Callithrix jacchus: one gene and its partners. The protein of the gene in region 3 interacts with the protein of the main gene of each other region in a biochemical or structural test. Links are inferred from orthologs where the notes say so. Each region holds a gene or a part of one and is shown on either strand. Other genes may lie near its edges. The genes, in order: ATG7, PHB2, MAP1LC3A and MAVS.

Region 1 (5,016 bases), on a different chromosome or scaffold from region 3:
GGGGTTTGGCAAATGAGTGAAAAAGCTGATGTTTTCAAACACTTCCCTATGGCCAGGGGCTAAGGGTGCAGTTTATGATTCTAGAACATATTCTTTTTTTGTGGAAAGTCAGTGTCCCTGGCTTCATTATTAGCACTCATATGTGACTCACTGTTAATGTGCCAAAATATTATGAGGTCATCAAGGGGCAGATGGCAGATTATAGAGCTGTTCTAAAGCCCGTGTAAAAAATCCCAATTCAGGGGAACTCAGGTTGCTGGACAGCTTCTGCATTTGGACAGAGTGAAGCCTTACTCTGTTCCACACTCTGCCATCACCCACCATAACTCCTTCCCCCACAAAAATATCTGCATACTCCTAAGTAGATTTTCTGGCTCTAAATTACCAAATAGAGTTTTTTGTTTTGGGGTTTTTTAAATGCATATACCCTTGAAGGATTAAGGCAAAATCATCAGTCATTCTAATCCCCAGCAATTTGGAGGCTGAGGCAGAAGGATTCCTTGAGCCCAGGAGTTCAAGACTAGCCTAAGCAACATAGTGAGGCCTTATTTCTATTAAAAATAAAAAAAATCAGCCAGGTGTGGTGACGTGTGCCTGTAGTCCCGGCTACTTGGGAAGCAGAGGTGGGAGGACCCCTTGAGCCCAAGAGGTCAAGGCTACAGTGAGCTGTGATTGTGCCATTGCCATCTAGCCTAGGTGACAGAGCAAGACCTTGTCTTTAAAAAAAAAAAAAAAAGAGGTACTTGAATAGCCAGAAGGTGCTCTGATAAAGTTTCTTGGCCTTGGATGGCTGGAAAGAGCCAAAGATACACAGTTTTCTCCAGTGTTTTCCTTACCTCAGGTAGAATGTGCCCTCTCTACTTTGGGACTGAGATCCGTATGTCTCTGCTTGCTGCCCCGCGCTGCCTGCCCTGCCCTGCCCTGCCTCAGAGCCCTGGGGTTATAAATCAAGGTGTTCTAGGATGCAGAGGTAAAGAAGAGAGACATGGGAAGGGTACAGCATAATAGTGCACAGGGAGATCTCATGTAAGCGACCACAAGTATGTGCAGGCAGCTGTGGAAAGTGTGGGCTCTGAGATAGTGCCTATACCATTGCTCCAGAGATAACTACATCCTGGTGTTTCCATAGAATGCCAGGGGATTCAACATGAGCATCCCCATGCCTGGGCATCCAGTGAACTTCTCCAGTGTCACTCTGGAGCAAGCCCGCAAGGATGTGGAGCAACTGGAGCAGCTCATCGAAAACCATGATGTTATTTTTCTGTTGATGGACACCAGGGAGAGCCGGTGGCTTCCTGCCGTCATTGCTGCAAGCAAGAGAAAGGTAGGTACTGTCTCCGATTACGATTTAATACACCACCACCCCAGAGGAAGGAGTGTCCCTAACCTTCCCTTCCCCAGGGCAGAGATGTGGCTTGTGACCTGGTAGCACAGTGCCAAAGGGCTTCTGCTTCAGACTGTCTTTGCCTTGCACACCATCACCCAATGTAATAGGTATCATTTACTGCTTAATTTTCATAATAATCTTCTAAGATACTCTACACTGAAAGGTATACTGTATTTACATTAAAATGTAAGCTCCAAGAGGTCAGAGACTTTGTCTTATTCACTACTACTTGGTCAATGACAACTAAAAGGGCCAACAGTATTCAATAGTGAACTAAATCATGGTGCATACCTATAATGGAATAGTATGCAGCTATTCACAGTTATGTTTTCAAAGGATTTTAATAAGATGGAAAATGTCACATTATATTAAAGAAGATACAATATGATATATATTTTGTACTAATTATGTTTATATATAAACATTTATATATGTCTTCCTATCTGTCTACTGAGAGAGAAGAGAGGAAGAGGGCAAGAAGAAAAGAGAAAGAGAAAGAATGGGAGGGAAAGGGAGAAAATAGTAGGAAGAAATACCCCAAATTATTAATAGTAATTTTTTGAGCTGTGGGTTGTGAGTGATTTTTGTTTTCTTTTGTAGTGTGGTTATTCTTTATTTTTCAAAGTTTCTATATAATCAGAAATTTGGGATAATAAGTTAAATTAGAACTATGAAAAGTTGTTAGAATATAATTTAAAAATAGTTTCTAAAAAAATCCATGTGTTGGGCTGGACATGGTGGCTCACATCTGTAATCCTAGCACTTTGGGAAGATTGCTTGACCCAGGAGTTTGAGACTAGACTGGGCAACATGGTGAGACTGTCTCCACAAAAAAAGACAAAAAATTAGCAAGGTGTGTTAGTACACACCTGTGCTCCTAGGTACTTGGGAGGCTGAGTTAGGAAGATCACTTGAGCCTGGGAGGTAGAGGCTGCAGTGAACTGAGATCATGCCCATTGCAGTCCAGTCTGTGCAACAGAGGGAGATCCTGTCTCAAAAAAAGAAACAAAAAAGAAAACTACACGGAGCCAGGCATGGTGGCATGTGCCTGTAAGTCCAGCTACTGGGATACCAAAAAAAAAAAAAAAAATTGGGCCAGGTGCAGTGGCTCATGCCTGTAATCCCAGCACTTTGGGAGGCTGAGGTGGGCAGATCACAAGGTCAAGAGATCAAGACCATCCTGGCCAACATGGTGAAACCCCGTCTCTACTAAGAATAGAAAAATTAGCTGGGTTTGGTGGCACACACCCAGCTACTCAGGAAGCTGAGGCAGGAGAATCACTTGAACTGAGGAGGCAGAGGTTTCAGTGAGCCGATATTGTGCCACTGCACTCCAACCTGGGCGGCAGAGCGAGACTCTGTCTCAAAAAAAAAAAAAAAAAGTCTATGTGAAGGGTGGATTATATGGTATGTGAATTATATCTCAGTAAAGCTGTTATAAAAACAGATCTAAGCCAGGCACGGTGGCTCATACCTGTAATCCCAGCACTTTGGGAGGCCGAGGCTGGGTGATCACTTGAGGTCAGGAATTCAAGATAAGCCTGGCCAACATAGCAAAACCCCGTCTCTACTAAAAGTATAAAAATTAGCCAGGTGTAGTAGTGGGTGCTTGTCATCCCAGCTACTTGGGAGGCTGAGGCAGGAGACTCACTTGAACCTGGGAGGCAGAGGTTGCAGTGAGCCAAGACTGTGCCATTGCACTTTAGTCTGGGCAACAAGAGCGAAACTCCATCTCAAAAAAAAAAAAAAAAATCTGTGTGGACATGACAGTATAGCATAATGGTGGAAAGAATGGGTTTGAGAACTATGTAGACTTGGTTTTACATACCTACCTCTTGCCAGTTAAGTGACCTTGGGCAAGTTATAGAACTAACTTCTCTGACTTTCAGTATCCTCATCTGTAAATGAGAAATGTTTGTTATGAGGTTTTTTTTGTTGTCGTTGATAGAATCTTGCTTTGTTGCCCAGGCTGGAGTGCAGTGGCATAATCTCGGCCCACTACAACCTCCACCTCCCGGGTTCAAGCGTTTCTCGTGCCCCTGCCTCCTGAGTAGCTGGGACTACTGCTCAGCTAATTTTTTGTATTTTTAGTAGAGACAGTGTTTCATCATGTTGCCAGGCTGGTCTTGAACCCCTGAGCTCAGACAGTCTGCCTGCCTCGGCCTCCCAAAGTGCTGGGATTAATTACAGGTATGAGCCACCATGCCAGGTCTGTTAGGAGTTTCAAATGAAATTAAATGAGATAATTTATGTTTATCACTTATCAAGTCTTTTGTACTTAATAAGCCCTCAGTAGTGGGTAGCTTTTATCATCATTAGCTTTTAGAATCTAATTACACTTACATGCAAAAAATAAATTTTAAAAAGTTGAGCAAATATGGGATTAGCCACAGTTTGTGGCTATATGTGTTTTTTAACTCTGCTCTTTTATTCCTTGAAACCTGTAGCTGGTCATCAATGCTGCTTTGGGATTTGACACATTTGTTGTCATGAGACATGGCCTGAAGAAACCAAAGCAGCAAGGAGCTGGGGACTTGTGTCCAAACCACCCTGTGGCATCTGCTGACCTCCTGGGCTCATCACTTTTTGCGAACATCCCTGGTTACAAGCTTGGCTGTTACTTCTGCAATGATGTGGTGGCCCCAGGAGATGTAAGTGGATTTCTCTATAGTTTCAAATATTTCCTATGACCAACTTGTGCACTGGGCAGACAGACACAGCCCTTTCACTTATGACTATTTAAAAATTATCTTTTAACAAAGAGAAGAATTCTCCAATTTGGGGAGGATGGTATTCTCTCACTATGAACCTTGACTAGTGTCATCAACTGTACAGCTGTTCCTTGTTCACCAATACAAAGGCAGCTACAAACCATATTTTTGGAAAGCTTATTGAGGAAACCACAGCCGACTAGTCCCTGATAGCACTCAGTATTGTCTCCTGTGTTTCTCTTAGTCAAGACAGTATTAGAAATGAGGAGTCTAAAGACCAGATTCCATCAATGGCTTGACACTGCCTCCTAGGTAATTCCAAAAAGTCTCTTAGGTTCCCTCTGCCTCTGCAAAATAGGAGTGGTGTGGAGGCTTGTCAGATTTAGTAAGTAAAAGTATAGGATTCCCAGCTAATTTTGAATTTCAGTTAGTAATGAATAATTTTTTAGTATATGTCCCATATAATATTCAAGACCCATTTATACTAAAAATTTATTTATCTGAAATTCAGGTTTAGCTAAGTGTCTTGTATTTTCCCTGGCAATGCTAATAAGGCAAGGGAGAATACTTTCCCTGTCAACTCACAGTGCAAAGTGGGTCAAGTGCATCAATGCTTTGAACAGCAAGACCACACCGTACAAATTAAGAGTCTATGGCTTTCAGGTCTTCATACAAGTCAGTCTGTAGGGCTATTCCTTTATCAGAACCGATAATAATTCCAGGAAAGCAATGCAGAGATGTTTTCTGTAAACTCCCCTCTATTTTACCTTTGTTTTAAAACATTTTCCTTAATAGCTCATACCTCTTTTGGATAACTGGCTTTTATGTCCTCCCAATATAAAGAAAAGAAGATGACCATTCTCTTATATGAAGAAGGATGGCTTGATGATCTCTGTCATGGTGTTATAATATACAGCT
Region 2 (5,016 bases), on a different chromosome or scaffold from region 3:
CTCGTCTTACCCAGCAGTGTTTGGGTGCGGTTGGGAGTCTCTAATACTGCCGGGTAATGATGGAGGCCCCTGCCCCTGTGTCAGCGACATCCATGGAGTCAGGTCCCCAAGACTTAGCTGGCTGCAGCCCTCTCCCCACTTCCCACGCCCCTCAGAAGCCCTAGTCTTGAGCTGAGAGTGCGGCACCAGGGGTGGCTCTCGTTGGCTGGCTGCCACTCAGGGACACAATGGGCCCCGGCCCCTCCTCCCACCCAGTGCGGTTTGTCACCTAGTGGATCCAGAACCCACAGTCGACCTTGAGCTTGGGATCGGCTCGCCCCGTCAGGAGACCTCACCTGGCCTGTGGCCAGGGTCCCTGTAGCAGCTGGAGCGTTCTCGCCGTAGCTCTCCATTGGCCCGCCCTGGGTCCATCTTCCAGTACAGTGTTGGATGGTCTAATTGTGAAGCTCCTAACACTGTCTGGTAAAGATGGCCCCCGGGTCGGTTCTTTCGGCTGTAACTTTCAGGGAGCCCTGAAGACCATGGAGGCCTACTGACCAACGACCTCTGATCTTTACCCCTCCGGATGGGGGACGGATCACTAGGCAAAGGGGAACAATGGGAAGGAGACAAAATGGCTGCCTCTACAGCTGCAGCAAGATTTGGAAACACTGGTTCCCCAGGCACCTCCATTGTCTTCCCCTTGGAAACATGAAATAAATAAAGTGTGACTAGGAACATGAGGAAGATTGATCCAGGTCACTTGACCTGTCTTTTGTCCCACTGTTGATCTCATCTTAGCTGCACGGTAACTCGGGATTGGGGCTGCGGTATCTGCTTCGTCTTTCATGATACTCAACCCTAAGCAGAGAAAAACATCCTAAAAATCGAAGCAGATTAACTCAGTCCCTCTGTTCAGATCCACTGCTGCCCTATCTGCATTTGGTAGTTCCTGCACATACTTTATCCCCAGGTTTCGCCTTAGAGTTCTAAACTTTCCTTGTCTCCCTGTAGGGATGGGAAATGGGCCGTAGTGGGAGATTCAGGTATAAACGGTGACTTGGTTTCTCTGTTGCTTGAGATTCAGGAAGGGCTGTCTTGGGAAGAAGTGTCAGCTTATCTGTGGACTCAACAGGCACCTGTTCTGTTGGCCCCAGAGCTGAGGGAGTGACAAGCCCACCTTCACAGAGAGCCCTGCTAGTGAGTAGCTCCTCACGCCTGGTGACTGAGAAATGGAATCTGGTGGCCCACATCAGGCCATGGGATCCACTGGGCTTCTAGGCACAGAAGCCCCTCCACAGGCACAGGCAGGCTCCCCAGAACCACATGGAACTCTGCTACCAAGAAAGCAGCTCCTGTTGGGGTCATCAGATTTTTAATCTGGCTCAGCAAAGCCACAGCTGCTCCAGCTCTAAAAAAAAAGGGTGATGTGGGAGAAATGGAGGGTGGGGTGAAGAGTGCAGCTGGGCCTCTAGACCCCAGGGCCAGCCTTTCCAGCTTAGGTCGTTTTGGAGCCCAGGCCCTGCTTCCCCTTAGCTGCCCCAGTCAGAGTCTTTTGCGCCCTCTGCTGGCAGACACAAAGACGGCCCCAGGAGTGCCTATGTGACTGCGCATGCGTGCTGCTCATGACCATGTGAAGCACTGACTTCAGCTTAGGTAATAAAAATTTATTGAGAATTCCTGGGTTGGTGGTTATCTCCTCCCAGCCTTGAGGGAGGGAACAACACTGTAGGAAATCACTGAGAAATCACACACTGTCCCAACATCCCCGGCCGACACAGGGAGGAGGAAAGTAATTCCCCAGAAAAGGGGCTGGTCTTCAGTCTTCCTTAATCCAAGAGGGGTTCGGGGAACGGGTACAGGGGACCATCGCATGATACTGGGGTGGGGGTAGGGCTGTGCTGGACCCCAGGCTGGCTCCTCAAAAACAGGAGAAGCAGATCCACTTCCTCTGGGGATGGAGTTCTCGGTGACTAGGCTCACTTCTTACCCTTGATGAGGCTGTCACTGTAGGAAAGACAGATGATGACATTATTAGGGGACATAAATGTGACAGGCAAGACACTAGGCCATTCCCTCAACGACCCTCCTGCCCCATTGAGGGTTTGTCTGTGGGGAGGTAGGAAAAGGCAGTGGGGTAGAAGGCAGGTATTGGGAGAAGGTGGCCTGCAGGACCCCACAGGAACAAGGATGCAGCAACAACTTACCTTCCTCTGTGGTGCCAGATCACCAGATGAACAGGAAACAGAGAAGAGAAATGCACATGTTAACTGACAGCTTCAGGCCCCACTCAGCTTTGAACCCTCCTTTGCTCCCAGGACAACAGAGGAACAGGGCCGGCAGCCAGGAATCTCAGGCCCATGAGAGGAGGCGGCGTTTCTCATGGCCACTGCTATCTCTGGTCTCCTTCCCTAGCATCCTTCCATGCACCTGAGCAGTTCTAGGGCTCCTGAGTAAGGAAACTGAGTACCATCTTTCATCACTTCGCGGTTAGATAAAGACTTTACAATTAAAGTGCTTTTTATGTGAATAATCCTATTGATCTCATAAAATCAATCCTATGAGATGCAGGATAAAAACTGCCAACCACTCCCTTTTCTAATTTTGGTTCAGTGTCTCTCTGAGCCATATGAACAGCTGTAGCAGGCTCCAGAGCCCAAGCAACCAGACTCAAGTCCCACGTTCTTGTGATGCCCCACTGTGTGGTCACATCTCTCACCGAGTGAAACTTTCATCCTGTAGGTTCAGCACAAGGTTGTCAGCAGTGAGATAGATGCGATTCTGTGATGTGGCGATCTACAGGGGAGGAAATAAGACAGATGCTTACATTGAGCAAAGACCTCAATTCCAACCCCTGCAATTCAGTAGCCACTTAATGGAACACAGCAATGAATAAGATGTGGTTTCTGCTCTTATTCAGGGATCCAGAGCAGTGAGCAGCAGCTATGATTATTGGCACCATAAAGAGGCAAGAACAAAAGGTTAGGGAACCCAGAGGAATAATTTTTTTTTTTTTTTTTTGAGATGGAGTTTCGCTCTTGTTACCCAGGCTGGAGTGCAATGGCGCTATCTCGGCTCACCGCAACCTCTGTCTCCTGGGCTCAAGCAATTCTCCTGCCTCAGCCTCCCGAGTAGCTGGGACTATAGGCGTGTGCCATCATGCCAAGCTAATTTTTGTATTTTTAGTAGAGACGGGGTTTCACCACATTGACCAGGATGGTCTCGATCTCTTGACCTCGTGATCCACCCGTCTCGGCCTCCCAAAGTGCTGAGATTACAGGCGTGAGCCACCATGCCCGGCCCCAGAGGAATCATTCTTGATGAGGGGAAAAGATGCAGAGAAGCCAATTTTTTTTTTTTTTTTTTTTTTTTTTTTGAGACAGTCTTGCTCTGTTGCCAAGGCCGGAGTATAGTGGCACCATCTCAGCTCACTATAACCTCTGCCTCCCAGGTTCAAGTGATTCTCTTGCCACAGCCTCCTGAGTAGCTAACTGGGATTACAGCTGCATGCCACCATGCCTGGCTCTTTTTTTTTTGTACTTTTAGTAGAAATGAGGTTTCACCATGTTGGCCAGAGTGGTCTTGCACTCCTGACCTCAGGTGATCTGCCGGCCTTGGCTTCCCAAAGCGCTGGGATTACAGACATGAGCCACTGCACCCGGCTAGAGAAGCCAATCTGAGTAGAAACCCGAACAAGCAAGATTCGAATTCCCTCACTTCAGTGTGCTGAAAGCACTTTCTCACAAGACAGCCACATCAGAGATGCCAGGCTGACACGCTCACCGTCTTGGAGATATTCTGGGCTGCCCGGATCTTGCGAAGTTTGATGTAGCCAGGGTTCTTGCTCAGAGCTTCTCCAAGGTGAGTAGAGTTAAGGTTCACACAAGGGCAGGCCTCAATCCCTGGCCCCATCCTTACCACACTCCCTTGCTGCAGTCCTCCTCTGGGCTGTCAGATCCAAGGTTGCGCTCAGGTGACTTGGCCCAGCCCTACCTTGGACCCCACCTGTGGGCCTCCCTGTAGGCTGCTGCCAGGAACTGAGGGCAGCAGCAGAAATGAAGGCGAGGCCAGCAATGCTATTGATCTGGCCTTACAGTGGGGAGTCAGGCCTTGGCTACCCCCACCAAGATTTCAGATCTCATCTGTAGTCCCCACCCCCAAGGAGCCAAGGGCCGGAGGGCACGGAGTCGCATTCGCCTTAGTCTCATCAGCCTGCCCATTAAGGAGGATGGGGAACACAGGTGCCCTATGGGTTGGGCTGAGATCTCTCCAGCAGAAAGATATCATCTTGGCAGCCTCGGCCTCACCCTCGGCCTGCACGATCTTCTGCCGCTGTTCCTGCTTTGCTTTTTCTACCAAGAACTGGGCCCGCTGGGCCTCCTGTTGGGCTGTGGTGGGAGAGAGTCAGGTAGACCCGGTCCTGGGTCAGGAGCCCCTTCATGGAGTCTTTCCTCCTCCTGCACCTCGGAAGCCCTCGCCCCACTGCTCTTGCGACTCACCCACTTGTTTGGCTTCTACAGCAGCTGTGTACTCTCGGCTAAAGCTCAGCTCTGTGATGGCTACATCATCCAGGATGAGGCTGAAGTCCTTGGCCCTCTCTGTCAGTTCCCGGCGGATCAACAGGGATACCTGGGTGGGGGGTGAGGAGGGAAAGGGCAGGGTGGTTTGAGGGGACTGGAGAACTGAAAGGAAAGTTGTGTTGTGTGACCATCTTAACAACAGATCTCCTGAGAATGGCAGAAAAATCATCAACCCTTCCTCAGTGCCTCACCACAATATCTGAGTTGGAAGGGACTTGATTCAATCTTTTCATGTGACAGATGAGACACCTTAGAGAGATGACAGGACCGCTCCAGCTCACAGTGACCCCTAATCCTTCACTCTCCCCAATACAATACGAATTGCATTAGCTTCCTGTTGGGCAAACCTGTAACATATGCCTATCTGCTGAAAGAGGTGCAGGAAAAGCCAAGACTGGGACATTTCCCTCCATGCTTCCTAACGCCAAGTGCTATCGAGTTCTAACACTGGCTCTCC
Region 3 (5,024 bases):
GCTGGGCACAGAGATACCATAGTGGTATCTATGTGGTTCTGTCACTATGGCATAGAGACAGAACCACTCAAAGACCCTACCCTGATGGAGGCCCAGGGGAGGAGGCACAGTCAGGCTGTCAGCTGAATGGAAAATTGTACTTTGGATGAGTCTGTATTACTGAATAGAGATTAGTGGGGCTAAGAACTAATCTGGAGGGGGGCAAGTGATCCTTCCTGAGACCTGAAGGGTAAGCAGCTGTCAACTAGATGGACGGGCAGAGAACATTCCAGGCAGAAGAAACAGTAAAGATCCTGCAATGGGATTAGGTGGAGCCGGAAGAGGGTGGGCAGGGACCTGGGCAAGGTCTCAGAGCGCCAGGGAGTTTGAGCTTTGCCCTAAGGCATGGGAAGCCTTTGGAGGATTTGAAGGCTGGAAGTAACAAGACCAGATGTGGGTTTTGAAAAGCTCCCTCTGGCTGCCAGGGAGAATGGGGTGGGTGTGAGTTTGAGAGCAGGGAGCCCAGGGACCAAGCTTTGCTATTTAGATGACAGTGGCTGTCTAGAGTAGTGACTGTGGGGATGTATCGAAAGGGTAGATTTGAGTTTAGGTCATGGTGGCTTGTTGTATGAGAGACGTCTCAGGCAATTTTGTGGCCTGGGCACCTGGATGGAAGATGGGGGCATGGATGCCCAGTGGGAGAAGTGGGTTTGACAGGGGGAAGGTGAGTTTGATGTGGACCTGGCTGGGGTGGAAGTGCCTGTCAGAGGAGGGGGCACAGGCCTCTGGTTGCACAGGCACCAGGCTGGCATTCGAGGCCAGAGCTTAGGATGGAGGTGTAGACCATGGGTGGGGGCACGGGGAGTCTGGACAGCTTCTGAGAGGCCAACAGACCTTGCAGTGTCAAGTACGGGCCCTAAGGTGGGGCCCTGCGCAGGGCCTCTCCAGTGATTGTTGATTCAGGGCCAGGCAGGGGCTCTGTCTCCCATCACCTGCTAGCCTCTCAGGGGTCCTGGGTTCACGGGGTGGTACCCTGCAGCACCTCACATCCTCTCTCTCTCCCCCCAGATCCTGCTCATCTCTGATTACTTCTATGCCTTCCTGCGGCGGGAGTACTACCTCACACACGGCCTCTATTTGACGGCCAAGGACGGCACGGAGGCCATGCTTGTGCTCAAGTAGGCCTGGCTGGCACAGGGCTGCATGGACCTCAGGGGCGGGAAACTGGGCCAGGCCCTCCAGCCAGAGTTGCCAGCAGGCGAGTCCTTGGGCAGAAGAGGTTCAAGTCCAGGGTCACAAGTCTCTGGTATCAAAAGGGACCCATGGCTGACTGCAAGACCTCTGGGGAGGAACTGGGAGCTCTGGAAAAGGCAGGTGAGCAGGGCTTGTTAGGTTGTGGCTACTTAATAAATGTTTTTTGTTACGAAACCTACCCTGGGCCCATATCTGCATTGCACTCCTGGGGGTGGCCCCTAATGTTCTGGAAAGTACACACAGGTGTGTGTTTCTGGTATGTCAGAGCCCAGGGACGGTTCGGACAGCCCCACCAGCACCCTCCCCACTCCCAAGCAAGCAGCTGGAGGCATAGGGCCAGGCAGGCCTGAGCAATCTTTATTCTGCAGAGGGACAATGACCACAGATCCATACACCATGTGGAGATGGAGGGGTGGGGGGGCCAGTCTTTCAGGGGTGGGCAGGTCCAGGTAGTGGGCAGAGCCTCGGGTGGGTGAGGGGCAGGCAGGGGCCTAAAAAAAAAGATGAACCACACAGCAGGAGTGTGGGGGGATGCTTCCCACCTTCCCCCATCCCAGCCAGCACCCAGAGGGGCAACCCTAACAAAACCACTTAGGGGCAGAGGAGGTGGGTTGGTGCCCTCTGACTACGGGGCCACATCCCTGCCCAGCCCACCCCCAAGCAGAGGCAGCTCAGTTCAGGAACCAGGGGTTCTCTGGGCAGGGCCTGACCGGGCTTCCCCCCACTCCCAGGCCGACCCCCCTACTGCTGGCTCAGAAGCCGAAGGTTTCCTGGGAGGCGTAGACCATGTAGAGGAAGCCGTCCTCGTCTTTCTCCTGCTCGTAGATGTCCGCGATGGGCGTGGACACGCTCACCATGCTGTGCTGGCTCACCAGCAGGAAGAAGGCCTGAGTGGGGTTCAGCTGCAGGCGGCGCCTGAGGCAGGCGGGAGGGTGTGCGGCTGTGAGGGACGTGGCTGCAGGGCAGGCACAGCCCTGACCCCCAGAATGATTCCCAGCCTTTCACATCCATCCTCACCCCAGCTCTCACCTCTGACCCGACTCCAACTGCAGCCCCGACCTTGACCTTTCCAGCCGCGCCAGAACAGGGGCCCACCGCCTGGTCCCATCACTACTGACCCCACTCCCACCTCCTCTCGGCGGGAACCCGGCTCCCCGCCAGACCCAAGCTGCCTCCTGGCGGCGGCTGCCCACGCACCGGATGATCTTGACCAACTCGCTCATGTTGACATGGTCCGGGACCAGGAACTTGGTCTTGTCCAGGACGGGCAGCTGCTTCTCACCCTTGTAGCGCTCGATGATCACCTGGGAGCGGGGCAGGCGGGCAGGGGTTCGTGTCGGGGGCGCGCGAGGCGCGGCCAGGGCGGGGCAGGGCTGGGGGCACCGGACTCACCGGGATCTTGCTGGGGTGCTGGTCGCGGATCTGCTGTACCTCCTTACAGCGGTCGGCTGCGGATGGCGGCCGGACCTTGAGGCCGGGCTGAGCCGGGCCCAGGTCCTCCCCGTGTCTCCGCCCCGCCTGTCCCCAAGGGGCGGCCCCCGGCCCCGCCCCAGCTCCAGCCCCCGCCCCCGGGGCCGGCAGGCCCCACAGCCCCTAGCACCTATCATGGTGGGGAGGTGGGCGGCCTCCGCCCAGGCTGGAGTCAGCCTCCCATCCCGAGGGTCCGGCTGGGGCCTGACGTCACAGGACTGACGTCACCCGCGGTAGTCGGGGTCGGCCGGGCCCCCGCGTACCCCTGCTCCGAGCTCACAGCTTGCCCGCGGGGCCTCACCGAAGCTCCGCCGCTGCTTGAAAGGCCGGTCTGAGGGCATCGCGCGGGCCCGGTTGGGCGCGCAGGCCGGGGCTCTGGGACGTGGGGATGTGGCTGCGGTTTGGGGGCTCCGGGGGCTCCGTGCCTCACGCTGAAGGGCTCCGGGGCTCGCGCTGAGCGCGGCGGCGGCGGCTGCGGGAGGTAACTCGCCCGGTGACGTCAGGTCACAACATTCCTTAAAGGGGAGGCCGGCGCACTGCTCCCATTGGGCCGACGCACAACCTGCCCGCCCGGGCTCATGACGTCACGGCGCAGAGCCCCTGGGTCCCCGGCTCGGGACGCGAGGGGCGGGGCTCCTGGGCGCGTCACAGTCCTGTGACGTCATGGCCGGCCCAGGAGTCTCTCCCGGCGCGGAACTCAGGTGAGGCCTGGAGGGCGGCGGGGCTGCCAAGGGCTGAGGGAATGGGCGGGCCAGGCTGCAGCCCCGCGGCACCGCTCCCCGCGCCCTCACCGAGTCTGTGCCAGGCCTGGCGCGATTCTGGGCACCGTGGGAAACAGCCGGCGCCTTCTAGGGGCTCAGGACGAGAGACGGGAGAAGGTGCAGGAGGCACAGGATCAAGCAAGACATCACAAAAGAAGGCCCAGGTTTGCAAAGGAATTCTAGAATTGACAAGTAGAGCCATGGAAATTCAGGTCTCGGAGGATGAGGTGTAGGACAGCAGAAAAGAGTGCGCGGACCTGGAGGCTGATCGGAAGCAGCTCACCAGAGAGACAGGTGATGGAGAATAAAAAGGAAAAAGCCACGGATGGCAATGCCGGGAGATCTCACAGGCCGGGGCAGAGCTCCCTGCAGAGGCAGTTCCTGAAGGAGAGCTGCCAGAAGTGATTCTTAAAATCGGGTGGAATGCAAACACCGGAGATGAACATCTGGACGCTAGTGAATCTGCAGAACTCCAAAGACTATGCGATTTTAAAAGCGACCAAGGATGATGGATTTTAAAAATTACACCAATAACAAACTTCTCAGCAGCAAACGTAGAAGGCTACAGTAAAATGTAACGCTTTACACCTCGTTGACAGGAAAAATGCTGTCAACGAGGTGTTGATCCATGATTTAAGAGTTAAGAAGTAAAGATAGGTGGTGACAAAGAGCTTACACGAAAGACTGTTGCTGAAATTATTTTTGGGGGGTGGGACTGAGTCGTTCTGTCGCCCAGGCTGGAGTGCACTGGCGCAATCTCAGCTCACTGCAACCTCCACTTCCCGGGTTCAAGCGATTTCTCCTGCCTCAGCCTCCTGAGTAGCTAGGACTACAGGTACGTGACACCACACCCAGCTAATTTTGTATTTTTAGTAGAGACGGGGTTTCACCACGTTGCCCAGGATAGTTTTGATCTCCTGACCTCGTGATCCATCCGTCTCCGCCTCCCAAAGTGCTGGATTACAGGCGTGAGCCACTGAGTGCGGCAGCTGAAATAATTTTTAAAGAATGTACTTCAGTAACAAGCACATGGAACCGAAAAGGAAGAAATTAGATGGAAAAATGGTGAGCAAATTGGTAAACGTGAGTAAATCTAAACAAGCATGTAATATGCAACATGAATAATGATTAATTTGCGGGCTACAGAAACAAGATGTATGAGACGCAAGAACTTGGAAGACTGAGAGGGCAGAGTTAAGGTGTTCTCGGAAGGGTAAAGAGACTGAGCATTGTTAGGCTTTGTAAAGTTAGGTGAGTATTTCAGATATTTAAGAGGGATCATCAAAAGAGTAGAAACGGAACTGTAACTGCCAATGCCGAGAAAAGGGTGGTGATGGGTATTAAAACTAATAGCAAAGTAAAGCAAAGTAAAAGGGATGGTAAATAAATGGTACAAAACCCGAGGCAGAAAATGTGGTTTACCTTCATTTCTCAAAACACAGATTACCAGATCGGCCAAGAAAAAATAAAATGCAGCTCTATGCTGTTTACAAGAGGACATTTAAAACCTAAGGGCACCAAAAGTAAAAAGATGGCAGCTGGGTACAGCGGCTCACGCCT
Region 4 (5,016 bases), about 6.6 Mb from region 3:
ATCATGCCCAGCTAATTTTTATATTTTTGTAAAGATAGGGTTTCACCATGTTGGCCAGGCTAGTCTTGAACTTGTGACCTCAGGTGATCCACCTGCCTCAGCCTCCCAAAGTGCTGGGGTTTCAGGTCTGAGCCACCACACCCAACCCCTGGTCACATTTATAACTGTGGGAAATCCATGTTTTCTTTTCTTTCTCTCTCTCTCTCTTTATTTTCTCCATTTTAGAGACAGAGTCTTGCTCTGTCAAGCTGGAGAGCAGTGGTGCAATCATAGGTCACTTCCACCTTGACTTCCTGGGCTCAAGCAATCCTTCCACCTCAGCCTCCAGAGTAGCTGGGACTACAGGCATGTGCCACCACACTTGGCTAATTTTCAGAATTTTTTTGTAGAGATGAGGTCTCACTATGTTGCCCAGGCTGCTCTTGAACTCCTGGGCTCAAGAGGTTGGCCTCCAGGAGTGCTGGGATCATAGGTGTGAGCCACCGTGTCTGGCTCTCATGTTTGCTTTTCTTTCCTTTTTCTCCTCCTTGCTTCCCCCCTCTTTCTTCTTCCCTTCCTCTCTTTCTTCCTTCCTTTTCCCTCCTTCTTTTTAACTATGTCTCTTGATGTATGGAGATTATTAATAGTGATCCCCTGACTACAATGGCTGTGGAAGGGCCTGATGGGTGGTGGAGGCAAAGGGGAGGGGCTGAGGCGGCAGCATCAGGGCAGGGGTCAGTGAGCAATGACAGCCATGTGGAGGAGAAAGCCACTGGGTCCCAGGATGTCTGGGGACAGAGGAGGGTGACTGCTGACATGGTCTGGGTGGTGAGAGACCCATGATGCCCCCCCCGCACACTCCCCCTGCTCCCTTGCTCCCTTGTCCTCCAACTGCTCTCTCCTTCCCACTCCTGCCCCCTTGCCAGTGATGCTTGTTACTCTGAGGAGTGGACCCACATCAGAACAGCTTTTGGACCTATGGGTGGGACAGGGGGGTGTACCCAAGAGCACCCAAGCCTCTTCCATCATGAGGAATACCTCTGATTCCTTCTTTTCTTTTTTTTTTTTTTGAGACGGAGTCTCAGTCAGTCACCTAGGGTAGAGTGCAGTGGTGTGACTTTGGCTCACCGCAGCCTCTGCCTCCCAGGTTCAAGTGGTTGTCCTGCCTCAGCCTCCCTGTAGTTCCTGATTCCTTCTTTCCACCCTGCCTCCGCAGAGCAAGATGGAATCTTGTTCTGTTGCCCAGGCTGGAGTACAGTGGTGCAATCTCAGCTCACTGCAGCCTCCGCCTCCCAGCTTCAAGCAATTCTGCCTCAGCCTCCCAAGTAGGTGGATTACAGGCACGCACCACCATGCCCCACTAATTTTTGTATTTTTAGTAGAGATGGGGTTTTACCATGTTGACCAGGCTGGTCTCAAACTCCTGACTTCCCAATCTACCCACCTTGGCCTCCCAAAGTGCTGGAATTATAGGCATAAGCCACAGCACCCAGCCCCTGATTCCTTCTTGATATCACTGCATCTTTGTCCTCCAGGGACCCCGGAACATCCTCCAGCCCCACTGGAGCCACCGTCAGTTTCTGCTGAGGTACCAGGACCCTCCACGCCTGCTGCAGCCCACAGCATCCCCTACAATGGCTATAGAGAGAAGGAGCCAAGCTACCCCATGCCTGTCCAGGAGTCCCAGCCGCCAGAGTCCCTGGAAGAGGTCTGTCCTCACAGTCCACCTTGAGCCACCTGCTTTTGCATTCCTGTCTGCCCACTTCTGCCCATGAGCCTTCCTCCAGAAACCCCCTCCTGTCCACTATAAATTATGCCTAATCTCTGCTCAGAAACCCAAGGCTTCCTTAGTGGAGTTCTGCCCCAGACCAGCTTCCAGACTGCTGACCAGGTTTTCACCCTGTGGCAGTCTAATCCTCTGTCACCAACCAGCTGGGAGATGACAGGTTTTTTTGTTTTTTTTTGTTTTGAGACAGTGTCTCATTCTGTCACCCAGGCTGGAGTGCAGTGGAGCGATCTTGACTCACTGCAAACTCCGCTTCCTGGGTTCAAGTGATTCTGCTGCCTCAGCCTCCTGAGTAGCTGGGATTACAGGCACCCACCATGATGCTGTCTAATTTTTGTATTTTTAGTAGAGATGGTGTTTTGCCATGTCAGCCAGGCTGATCTCAAACTCCTGGCCTCAGGTGATCTGCCCACCTTGGCCTCCCAAAGTGCTGGGATTACCAGTGTGAGCCACCGCCCCTGGCTGGAGACCACCACAGTTTTGAGGTCTTTGCAATGTTCCATATGAGATGTTGCATTGGGTGGAGGAACCCAGGGAGGGGCCAGATGAGGGAGAGTGAGGGAGCAGGCAATTATGGGAGCAGGGGTGATTGGCGGGACTGTCATTATTGCCAAAAGGTCAAGTTTGGGGGAAAGATGACCGATTCTATGAAGATAAATGAGTGGGCAGTGGGGTGTCCAGGAGACACCAAACCATGAACCTGAAGCCTAAGAAAGGGATCTGTGATCCCCTGAACACAGTGGCTGTGGTAGGGATAGGATGAATGGAGGTGGGAAAGGGGAGGGACAGAGAAGGCAGCATCAGGGCAGGGATCAGCTAGCGGTGACAGCCATGAGGAGAAAACCAGTGGCTGCCGAGAGGGAGATCTTTCTTCAGGGCCACACAGTTAGACAGGGAGTCGCCCAGGGATGCTGTGTGTTTTCTGTGAGGTAAATGCAAGGACACCTGTGGACAGAGGGTCTGGCAATTACCAGAACCCAAGCAATGGCTCCCTGGCTCCTGTGCTTCATGGTGTGGGCTGAGGTCTGTAGGAGACGTCCCAAAAGCACAAGCTGCCCTTTGCGAGCTCTTGGGAGAGGTAACTGCCTTATTCATATTTTCCCTCTTGCAGAGTTCAGAGCAAGCCCCGCAGATGCTCAGTCCCGGAGCCATCCCAAGGAGGCTGGGTGGTGGCCCTGTGGAGCCCTCCGCTGACCTGGCAGCCCTTAGCCCTGTGACCTCCAGTGGGCATCAGGAGCAGGACACAGAACTGGGCAGTACCCACACAGCAGGTATGCATGGAATCTGGAATTATAGGGCCCGTCCGATCTCTCAAGTGAAGGCGAGAATTAGAGATGCCCCTCTGGCTTCCTTGAATAGGAGGCAAGGTGGGAATAAAGGGAGTTCAATGCAGGAAGCAAACCAGTTCCTTATAGGGTGTATCAGTTAGCATTTGCTGTGTAACAAATAGTCCACTCCAGTTTTCCAATTTTTGTTTTTTTTATTAGCTTAAAATGCAGCCATTTATTTAGCACATGATCCTGTGGGTCAGCTATTTGGGCTACCTATCTGGGAAGTTCTTCTGGTCTTGGCTGAAATTCTTCTCAAGTACTCACTGGTATATATATAAGTTCTGCCTCTGGCTATTGGCTGAACACCTTGGTTCTCTTCTTTGTAGTCTCTTGTCCTCCAGCACACAAATCCATCATGGCTGCTGGGCGGAGTTCTGAGACAGACAAGAGAGGGCTCAAAACTAGCACAATGTCCCTGTGCCCCATTCTGTGGGCAAAAACAAGTTATAAGGCCAGCCTAGATTCAAGGAATAGGGAAATAGACTCCCTCTCTAGACAGGAGGACTGACTGGGACAGCGCAGAGGGGCTGGGTGGAGGTGGGCGAGATAAGTAGGGCCGTTTTTGCACTCTGTCAAAGAGACTGTAGGGAGCAACCAGGGCCTGGAGGGCGGTGGGAGAGGGACAGTGCAGGCCTGCACCAGCTATTGGCAGGGAGGCCTTTAGGCACTGCCTTACCACAAAGAGATCGCAATTCCCAGTGAATCCCAAAAACTTCTCAGTCCCCAGAGGAAGTAAGGTCATCATCCAGGGGCCTGGACCCCACTCCAGACCTCAGTGCTCCCCTCAGAAATATATAGTTGTCCGCCTGGACCTCTCAGGCTAGCATGTCTCTCTCCTGCTTTCCAAACTGTTTCACATGACGCTGGTGCCCCGTCAGCCCTCAGTGCCCTGGGACAGCCACAAGGCACATGAGCAGTTAAAGGCTAGGAGACATCATCTCAGTACTTTTGTCATCCCCAAACTGCTCCAGGCACCTGTCTCTGCTTTGCAGTGTCACCTGGCCATGGGATGCCTTTTGGGAGTTGCTGTAGACTATGGAGACAGAAGGTGATTAGGTTTCAGTAGGTCTGTAGACACAGGTCCCGTGAGATTCTATGGTGTGAGATTGTGGTGGTTGGGGTGTACATCGGAATCACCTTGACCTGTGCCAGCTGTGGGGCCTGGCATGTGCATTCCAAGTTCCATGGAGAATCCTGCTGCAACCCTTTATAGACCATCACCACCTGCTACACCCTGCTTCCCCAACACGGGTCAGGCAGCCTCCCAGGGGTGGCTTTGTCCATGTCCCCGCTCTTCCCAAGCCTCTGGGATGGCCGGGCCTCTCGGCTGGTCTGAGCTGTTCTGCCTAAGCCATCCTGCCACCCCTCACCCTGTTTCAGGGCTGTTCCCACTCGTGGTGCTGGAGGAGGGACAGCAGTGGGGGAAGTATCCAGGATTCCATGAGGCTAAGGTCAAGGGGAGGCTTCCCAGGTGGGAGAGGAAAAAGCAGAGAGAATAATAAATAATGATCTTCAAGCTCCAAGGTACCATTTCACTGTGTGTCAGGGTAGACCTGGGGGTACAGATCAAGGACTGAGGGCAGCTGTTGGGCTTTCAGGCTGGGAAGCAGTGACCAAAGGGACTGTGGCATCTCCTCCAAGGGCAACAGATTTGGAGGCCTAAATGCAGTAGGAACCATGAGACCTGGAGCAGAGGGACCCTTCTCCAGGCCTGAAGGTAACAGTCTTTGAGTCTGTGTTTCCACTTGTGTTTTACCACCTGCAGGTGCAACCTCCAGCCTCACACCATCCCGTGGGCCTGTGTCTCCATCTGTCTCCTTCCAGCCCCTGGCCCGATCCACACCCAGGGCAAGCCGCTTGCCTGGACCTGCAGGGTCAGTTTCTACTGGTACCTTCTCCTCCTCATCCCCTGGATTGGCC

Evidence for each region.
Region 1: the proteins of MAP1LC3A (region 3) and ATG7 form a complex in vitro, tested with the Homo sapiens proteins (2 studies listed by BioGRID, with this or other methods). The link is inferred for Callithrix jacchus from reciprocal best matches to the Homo sapiens genes MAP1LC3A and ATG7.
Region 2: the proteins of MAP1LC3A (region 3) and PHB2 form a complex in vitro, tested with the Homo sapiens proteins (2 studies listed by BioGRID). The link is inferred for Callithrix jacchus from reciprocal best matches to the Homo sapiens genes MAP1LC3A and PHB2.
Region 4: the proteins of MAP1LC3A (region 3) and MAVS form a complex in vitro, tested with the Homo sapiens proteins (2 studies listed by BioGRID and IntAct, with this or other methods). The link is inferred for Callithrix jacchus from reciprocal best matches to the Homo sapiens genes MAP1LC3A and MAVS.

The regions. Positions count from the first base shown.
Region 1 is NC_133516.1:68,590,092-68,595,107, forward strand, and holds part of ATG7 (ubiquitin-like modifier-activating enzyme ATG7), read left to right. Parts: intron 1-1,129; coding exon 1,130-1,324; intron 1,325-3,834; coding exon 3,835-4,038; intron 4,039-5,016. UniProt on the Homo sapiens protein: E1-like activating enzyme involved in the 2 ubiquitin-like systems required for cytoplasm to vacuole transport (Cvt) and autophagy.
Region 2 is NC_133510.1:21,231,652-21,236,667, forward strand, and holds part of PHB2 (prohibitin-2), read right to left. Parts: intron 4,609-5,016; coding exon 4,479-4,608; intron 4,368-4,478; coding exon 4,264-4,367; intron 4,195-4,263; exon of another isoform or gene 3,929-4,194; intron 3,841-3,928; coding exon 3,763-3,840; intron 2,776-3,762; coding exon 2,699-2,775; intron 2,442-2,698; exon of another isoform or gene 2,187-2,441; intron 1,987-2,186; coding exon of another isoform or gene 1,959-1,986; exon of another isoform or gene 1,632-1,958; intron 1-1,631.
Region 3 is NC_133506.1:4,743,747-4,748,770, forward strand, and holds MAP1LC3A (microtubule-associated protein 1 light chain 3 alpha), read right to left. Parts: upstream 3,192-5,024; 5' UTR 3,045-3,191; coding exon 3,005-3,044; intron 2,910-3,004; exon of another isoform or gene 2,841-2,909; coding exon of another isoform or gene 2,834-2,840; intron 2,682-2,833; coding exon 2,626-2,681; intron 2,538-2,625; coding exon 2,431-2,537; intron 2,149-2,430; coding exon 1,986-2,148; 3' UTR 1,569-1,985; downstream 1-1,568. Other genes in the region: GPI-anchor transamidase component PIGU, read left to right, coding at 1,048-1,161. UniProt on the Homo sapiens protein: Ubiquitin-like modifier involved in formation of autophagosomal vacuoles (autophagosomes). While LC3s are involved in elongation of the phagophore membrane, the GABARAP/GATE-16 subfamily is essential for a later stage in autophagosome maturation.
Region 4 is NC_133506.1:11,379,457-11,384,472, forward strand, and holds part of MAVS (mitochondrial antiviral-signaling protein), read left to right. Parts: intron 1-1,514; coding exon 1,515-1,687; intron 1,688-2,876; coding exon 2,877-3,036; intron 3,037-4,861; coding exon 4,862-5,016.